2 linked regions of the Oryctolagus cuniculus genome follow. The protein of the gene in region 1 interacts with the protein of each later gene in a pairwise test. Links are inferred from orthologs where the notes say so. Each region holds a gene or a part of one and is shown on either strand. Other genes may lie near its edges. The genes, in order: TEX11 and POM121.

Region 1 (3,805 bases):
CTTCCATCTGATACATTAGCAAGGAGCTGGATCAGAAGCGTGGAGTAGCCAGGGCTTAAACTGGCACTCTGATATGGGGTGCAGATGTCCCAAATGGTGACTTTTAAAGTATTCCTGTAGCAAATGTGTTTTAGGCCTATTCTTTTTTTGTTATTATTTTTATTAAGATATTTTTTCTTGAATTATGTAATACAAAGTAGAACACAAAACTCTCCTAAATGCTGACTGTTCCTTTTTGTTTTCTGTAGGTTTTGTGACTGAATATTGATAGAGGAGCATTTTCTCCAATATCCCCCAACCAGTCTGGGGAGATGTGAACTTTAAAAAATTATTTTTCTAACTTTTCTCTTCTAGATGAATATTAAAACAGGAAGAGGCTGGATAGATATTGGAAAAGCTGTGCGTTCTGATGAATTTTTTGAAGCTGCCATTGTTGTAAGTTACCTTTGATTTTTAGCTGTGGCAATTATTAGTAACATCTGTGGCTGTTCTCATCCCCACATTGTATTGCATTTTTATTTCCCAGGGTCTGGAGCACTTATATGTCAGATTAGTGGAGAGGAGTTACACTGAGGCACACGTGATCATTCAGAAGGTGGCTGTGGAGAAGGACCTCTTCAAAGTCTATTCTCACCAAGCAGAGTCAGTAGGTATCATAGGCACACAAGCCTTACTACGGGGGCAAGTTATAGATGTAAATGCAAGAATAATGAGAGGTAATCTATTAGAAGAAAATCAAATGTCACTGGCCATTTATAGGATGCTATATTTGATCTTTGGATCTTGTCTAATGTCTCAAGGAGACATGACTAATGGTGACTGGATCTGTATGGGAGTGAATGGGGGTAAATGACTAATATATATTTTCAACCACTGCATGTAACATCTGTCATTTATTTGTGGCAGCAGCCTTTTCTTGCAACACCTGTCTCCGTGACTGTCTCTTACATTCAGTCTGTCAAATATTCAGTCAAATATTTACTTGAGAAGAGTCTTTTCATTTGCTGTTGTTTTTCATTTACTATTTTTTTTATTTTAAAGATTTATTTATTTATTTGAAAGTCAGAGCTACACAGAGAGAAAAGGAGAGGCAGAGAGAGAGAGAGAGAGAGAGAGAGAGAGGTCTTCCGTCCTCTGGTTTACTCCCTAATTGGCTGCAATGGCCGGAGCTGGGCCGATCCAAAGCCAGGAGTCAGGAGCTTCACCCAGGTCTCCCACGTGGGTGTAGGGGCCCAAGGACTTGGGCCATCTTTCACTGCCTTCCCAGACCATAGCAGAGAGCTGGATTGGAAGTGGACCAGCCAGCACTTGAACTGGCACCCAAAAGGGTTGCCAGCACTGTAGGCGGTGGCTTTACCCACTATGTCACAGCGCTGGCCCCTTGATAATTTTTTTAAAAATAAAGTTTATTTATTTATTTTGAAAGTCATAGTTACAGAGAGAAAGAGGAAGAGACAGAGGGATCTTCCACCTACTGGTTCATTCCCTAGATGGTCACAACAACCAGTGCTGGGCCTGGCTGAATCCAGGAGCCAAGGAGCTTCATCCAGGTCTCCCATGTGGGTGGCAATTACCCAAACATTTGGGCCATCTTCTGATGTTTTTCCCAGGCCATTATTGAGGAGCTGGATTGGAAGTGGAGCTGCTGGGACATAAATTGACACTCGTGTGTGATGTCAGTATCACACGTGGTGGGTGGCTTTGCCTGCCGTGCCACATTGCCGGCCCCTTGATGATGCTTTAAAATATCTCCTGTTATCACACAATGTTCAAAGTTGTACTTTGCCTCTGTTTGCATTGTAGGTTTCCTCATTTTGTTATAGTTAGGTGTGCATTTTCAGTTGACAAAAAGCAGTGATGAATTTGCTTAATGTAATTATGTAATCCTGGAAATGAAAGAGGCACTAAAGTCATCTAGTATAGCCCCCTTTTTTACTTTTTATGATTTTTATTAAGATATGATTTATATACCATAGAATTCACCCATTTACAATGTTTAATTCAGTGCTTTTAGTGTATTCACAAAATCGTTGAGGCCATTTGCGGAGTGAACCAGTGGATGGAAGACCTCTCTCTGCCTCTGCCTCTGCCTCTCTGTAACTCTGTCTTTCAAATAAATAAATAAATCTTTTTAAAATAAGAGAGTACAATGTGAGATAGGGATATAGCTTCATTTACATGTGGTTATCCAGTTGTCCCAATATCATTTATTGAGAAGACTATTCTTTCCAAATTGAGTGATCTTGATACATATATCAAAAACCAATTCATCATAAATGTGGAGGTTTATTTGTGGACTCTTATTTCTATTCCATTGATCACAATGTCTATTCTTTTTTTTAAAATTATCTATTTGAAAGGTAGAGTTAGAGAGAGAGGGAGGGAGGGGAGAGCGTCCAGAGATCCAATTGTTTGCTCCTCAAATGTCCTCAACAGCTGGGGCTAGGCCAGGCTGAAGCCAGGAGCTGGGAATTCCATCAGGGTCTCCCATACAAGTGTCTTGGGGCCCAAGTACTTGTACCATCTTCAGCTACTTTCCCAGGCTCATTAAAAGGACACTGGATCAGAAGTGGAGCAGCCAGGACTCTCTCTCTCTGCCTATGCCTCTCTTTAGCTCTGTCTTTCAAATAAATAAATAAATAAATAAATATTTTAAGAAGGATTAATAACATTAATATGTGGTGTCTCTTTCATAGGAGCATAAGTTTTTGGGAGATCCAGAAATGTAAACATGCATTTCAGCAGGGTAATTGCCTTGAAGTAATGTGGATGAAGTTCTTCAGTAAAACAAAGGATTAGTAGTTTATTTTGATGTGAAAATTAAGAAGATTGTGAATTTTGGGGGAGTATAAAAGGGACATAAAATAGATATTTTAAATTGCAGAGGAGAATGAGATTTTTTAAGGTTTATTTTATTTATTTGAAAGGCAGAGAGAAAGAGAAAGAGAGAGAAGGAAAGAGAGAGAGAAAGGGAGAGAGAGATCTTCCATCCATTGGTTCACTCCTCAAGTGGCCACAGTAGCCAGGGCTGGACTAGATTGAAGTCAGGAGCCAGGAGCTTCATCCAGTTCTCCCACATGGGTGCAAGGGCCCAAGTACTTGGGCCTTCTTCTGCTGCTTTTCTCAGGCCATTAGCAGGGAGCTGGGACTCAAACTGACATCCATATGGGATGCTGGCACTGCAGGCAGTGGCTTTACGTGCTATGTCACAATGCCGGATCCATTTTTTAAGGTGAGAGATGAAGTAATTTTTAGAGGGATACAGTAGGAGGATATGGCATGCTATAAAGTACTTGAGGAATATGATAGAGTCTGTCCACCTGTGTGGGAAATATACTGCAGAAATCAACAAAGGGGAAAACTCAGTTTTATTGAGCATCTACTATATGCTTGACATAGTACTAGGAGCTGTAGTGTTCCTAATTGCTTAGCTGGAGTGAAGGTCCTATTGAAGTTAGCATAAATTCGTAGAGGGTCCATTTAGCATAGTTTACAGTGGATGACAGTGCCCTCTCTCTGTCTCTCTGTCTCTGTCTCTCTCTGTCACATAAATAAATAAATATAAATAAATAGTCTAAACAAAATTTTAAAAGTAAAATACCGTATCTGTTAACTAAATTCTTCAATTCTTAAATGGCTGACCCAAGCCTCTTCTATAAATGCTTAATAAATCTTTACATATTTATTTTTTATTTGAGAAAATCTTGCCTTTGATGGCTCATTCCCCAGATGCCCCCTGGCCCAGGCAGGGTTGGGCCAAACCAGAGCCAGGATTCTTGACCTCAGAGTGGATTTCACATGTGGG
Region 2 (4,595 bases), on another chromosome or scaffold:
ACAATGGGGATTCTGTCTTGTTCCTGCTCTGTCCACGGTGCCTGGACTGTGACCCAGCACACAGTGGGTGCTCAGGAAGTGCCTGTTGAATCGGAAACTGAGCGAAATCCTGAAGTGGCTCCTTGGGCAGCCGCAGAGTGCTCTGCACCCAACTGGCCACTCAGCCTCCGTTCTGCCCACGCTCAGGAAACAGACTCCATTTTTACTACATTAGCATGAAAACCAAATAGGGAAATTGGCTTCACGCTCATCGCTGATCCGCCTGCCTTACTCTGGTGCTCACTGTTCCTGGACAAGCGTTTCCTTCAGCATAAATACAGGATTTAACTGGTGATTACCCAAATAACTGCCAAGCACACAGCTGTGAGGGCAAGGTGTGAAAAGAAAACTGAACACATCTGTATCAAAATGTAGGAGCTGGGGCCAGCGCTGTGGCACAGCGGGTTAAAGCCCCGGCCTGAAGCGTCGGCATCCCGTATAGGCACCGGTTCGAGTCCCGGCTGCTCCACTTCCGATCCAGCTCTCTGCTATAGCCTGGGAAAGCAGTGGAGGATGGCCCAAGTCCTTCGGCCCCTGCACCTGCGTGGGAGACCAGGAAGAAGCTCCTGGCTCCTGGCTTCGGATCGGCACAGCTCCAGCTGTTGCAGCCATCTGGGGAGTGAACCATTGGATGGAAGACCTCTCTCTCTGTCTCTTCCTCTCTCTGTAACTCTTTCAAATAAATAAAATAAATCTTTAAAAAAAAAAAAAAAAAAAACGCAGGAAAACGCATCTGCCCTGTGCTCTGGGAAGCGGGCGGCCTCTACCTGTCCTTGTCGCCAGGCTCCTCTCCGAAAGCCAGGCTGGGGAGTAGCCAAGGCTCTCCAGCGGAAGCTGCTAGGAGCTGCGGGCCCGTGAGCCTGTCAGCACCCACTGCCCTGTCACCTTCTCTTATTCTCCAGGCCATCTGGGGACTGGCGGTCCTCTTCCTCCACCGTCCTCTTCTTCCTCTCTTTGAGGGCGTTCAGCACAGTCTCCTTCGCACACGGGTCTGGGGCGCTGGCTGCCGGTGAGGCCAGTGCTGCGTCGACGGTCTGCCCGGGGCTGGAATGGAAGACGAGATCCAAACAGTGAAGATGCTCCCTCCCCACTCCGAACGGCACAGGTGCGGTCCCTGGAAACCGGGGGCCCACCGACTCGCCAGAGTGTAGTGCCCCCAGAACCTAAAGCGACCGGCAAGACCATGATAAATGGGCGTTCCACTAGAATTTAGGATTTCTCTTTCAGATAAGTAGCTACTCCCTCTGGCTCCACGGCTGCTGGCCACGAGCAGGACTGCGGAAGGTGGTGGCCGCAGACGGAGGTACTCACAGCGGAGGACGGGTCAGCTTGCTGTCGGGAGGGGCTATCCGCACGGTCACTGGGCTACACACCATCTTGGAATTGCGCACGGAGAGCACAGCTTTCCTGGGACAACCATTCCAGCACACGGTGGGAAGCACTCCCAGCGCCGAGTACTGGGCTTGCTGGATCGGGTAGCGTCTTCGGGGCGTAATTACGAACCGATTCGATAAAGTCCCACAGTCCCTGCCGGCAACGGAGACGGCCCGCGTGAGCCCGCGCGATTCCCAGGCGACCCACACCACCATGGTTCTATGGCAACGCCCCCTACCCATTCCAGCTGAGGGCAGAGGGTGGCACGGGCTCAGACCTCAACCATCTGAGAGGGAAATTAAAACCTTGCCCAAACAAGTCAGGGAGCAGTGGCAGGGCGGTGTGCGGCCGGGGCGTGCAGGGAGGGGTTCTACCGCACCCACTCCCAGGCACGCCTTCTGCACCAAAAATCTAACCCATCCCCCTTTTGTCGGCTACCGGAACCAAACGAAAACGTTTCTTTAACTAAATCTGAGAGGTGCTGCCTCCAATCCCTCCCGGAGCTCTGCGAACAGAACCTCTGGTCCAGACGAGGCCGCAGCCAGCACGCGACAGGACCAGCAGGGACACGTCGGGGGTTACTAAACATTCGGATAAATCAAGACCACACTGAAGTGCAGGAGTTGCAAGTGGGAGGGAGAGCTCTGGCCACACGGTCTCTCGTTCCTACAGGGATAGGAGGCCCGGGGGCGGCCAGCACACACCACGGTTTTCGGTAAAAAGCACAAAACCACACGCGAGTCGCGGTTTGCAGGGCAAGGCCGAGCCGCCCGGGGGAGGCCGTGGGCCGCGTGTCCTACCTGTAGGAGGGTCGCCTGTTGGGTCGGAGAACAGGGGAGGAGAAGGAGGGGTAAGCCTGCGGGGTGCGGGGCGCCGGGGGCGCGGGCGCGCCGGCGCGGGCGGGCGGGCTGCGGCCCGGCTTCTCCCGCAGGTCCCTGCCCTCCTGCGCGCGGGCCGCGGGCGGCGGGCCGGGCTTGCCCAGGTAACTGCCCATGAGCAGCAGCTCGGCGGGGTCGGGTCCCTCGAGTAAGGTCCGCGGCTCTAGGAGATCGCCGTTTACCGCCGCCTTGGCCGGGGGCGAAGCGAGCAACGTTCGCTGGCGCCGCGCGTTCCGGACGAGCGAGGACACGGCGCGCGAACCGCGGGGCTCACGGCTCAATCCCCACCAGGCCGCGGTAGCCCCCACGGCCAGCCAGGCCAGCGCGGCCGCCGCCGGCACCAGGTACAGCACGAGGCCGAGCAGCGACAGGCCCAGCAGCGCCGCCCAGGCCGGCCCGCCGCGGCCCCAGCCTCCGCCCGCGCCCCGGCCGGCCCTGACGCTCGCTATGGGCCGCCGCCGCTCGCCTCCAGCCGCCGCAGCCGCCGGAGACATCGCGGCTCCGCGCCGCGGAGAAGACTTAAATATCCCAGCGTGCACCGCGCCGCGCGCCGGATGCGTCACTGCGCGCGCGACTCGGACGCGGCGCCTCCGGAGGAAGCGCTCCTGCCCGGCAACGCCCGCGCCCGCTCCCGACCGGGTTCGGGAAAGTGCGGGCTGCTTGCGGGAGGTGTCCCGCGCACCGTCCGCGGAGGACTCGCCTAAGGACTCGACGCTGCGGAAGGCTGCTCTCCCCAGCACCCTGCGCTCACACGTCTTGGGCGGCGGGCACTCAGCACAATTGCTCGCAGCGGTGCGGGATTTCGCAGTTAGCCCGGTTTTCCGACGGAGCGTTCGCAGCTAACGGGGATTGACGGCGAACCGCAAGGGTGGCGAGCGGGACCGCCGCGCCCCGCCTCGGCAGCGGGGATCTAGCTCTGAACACACTGCGGACCCAGCCGGACGGTGCTCCTGCAGGTCCCCGAGACGAGGGGCGGTTTTTGAGGGTTTGCGGTCCGTCTGAGAAAGGGGAATCGGCGGTTGCCGGGGTCTACAGGGTGGCGAGCAGGCAGCGACCGCTCCTGGTTCACGGGTTTCCGATTTAGGGGACAAAGTGTTTCAGAATTACGGCGTGGTGCTGGTCGCACGACCCTGCGAGCTACGCCTTAAGGAAGCTGTTTTTAAAGACCTGGTGGTTTGCCATTGCAGACCTTGGCCTGGCTCGGCTTTCCTCACTGATTCATCCATCCCGTCGACAGGCGTTAAAGGACTTAAGGGGGAAGGACAGATCGGAGCTTCAGGGCTCTCCGGTTAAGTGGGGAAAGAAAGGTGCACAACTCCGCGTGTGTGTGACGGGTGCGAGCAGACGCGCAGAGAGAAGGGACTGTCACCAGCCAGTGCCCTCAGTAGCCCAGAAGTCTTTACTGGAACTCGCTTCTGTTTGGAAACCGTGGAAGCAGCTGACGGCGTCCAAAGCTCTTTCAGGTTTTCGTTTACCTGGCAGGAGAGCACTGGCGCAGACGGCGCTAAGGGCATCCACCTGTCATTCCCGAGCGTGGCCCCTGGAGGAGCGTCAGCCTCATCACCACAACACGCAGCCTACCTTGGAGCCCACCCCTCCCTCTGACAAGAACGCCCCTTCTTACATAGTCAGTCCTCCTAAAACAACGGAGGCTTTGGGAAGATTCCCCTCAGATTCCTTTTTTTGCTGCAGATAAATTGCTTTGCGTGACAATTCCTCCTGGTGCAGGAAGCAGGCCCCGCAGTTGTGGTTGCATAACAGAATGAAGAGGGGAAGGAGGGCAGGGAAGCCGCTCGGGATGGAGCTGACAAACCAGCTGGAACAAGTTCCAGCCAGACGAGGGACCCCTGTGCAGAGAGGAGGAGGAGCTGACTGCCCCTTAATTGGGTTCCTCTCCCCGCCCCCCAAGTTTTTTTTAAAGATTTATTTTTTATTTATTTGAAAGAGTTACAGAGAGGTAGTGAGAGAGAGGTCTTCCATCCAATGGTTCACTCCCCAGATAGCCACAATGGCCAGAGCTGCACCGATCCAAAGCCAGGAGCTTCTTCCTGGTCTCCTATGTGGGTGCAGGGCCCAAGGACTTGGGCCATCTTCTACTGCTTTCCCAGGGCATAGCAGAGAACTGGATCAGAAGAGGAGCAGCCGGGACTAGAACCAGTGCCCATATGGGATGCTGGTGCCTCAGGCCAGGGCTTTAACCCGCTGCACCACAGCACCGCCCCCCCAAGATTTTTAAATTTGATTTATTCGAAAGGCAAGAGTGACATAAATCTTCCATCTGCTGGTTCAGTCCCCACGTGGCCG

Evidence for each region.
Region 2: the proteins of TEX11 (region 1) and POM121 interact in binary tests that used the Homo sapiens proteins (3 or more experiments, as listed by UniProt). The two-hybrid records come from large-scale screens. The link is inferred for Oryctolagus cuniculus from reciprocal best matches to the Homo sapiens genes TEX11 and POM121.

What each region holds. Positions count from the first base shown.
Region 1 is NC_091453.1:50,675,987-50,679,791, reverse strand, and holds part of TEX11 (testis-expressed protein 11), read left to right. Parts: intron 1-354; coding exon 355-435; intron 436-526; coding exon 527-646; intron 647-3,805. UniProt on the Homo sapiens protein: Regulator of crossing-over during meiosis. Involved in initiation and/or maintenance of chromosome synapsis and formation of crossovers.
Region 2 is NC_091450.1:50,673,878-50,678,472, forward strand, and holds the start of POM121 (nuclear envelope pore membrane protein POM 121), read right to left. Parts: upstream 2,826-4,595; 5' UTR 2,786-2,825; coding exon 2,214-2,785; intron 1,567-2,213; coding exon 1,351-1,566; intron 1,084-1,350; coding exon 925-1,083; intron 1-924. UniProt on the Homo sapiens protein: Essential component of the nuclear pore complex (NPC). The repeat-containing domain may be involved in anchoring components of the pore complex to the pore membrane. When overexpressed in cells induces the formation of cytoplasmic annulate lamellae (AL).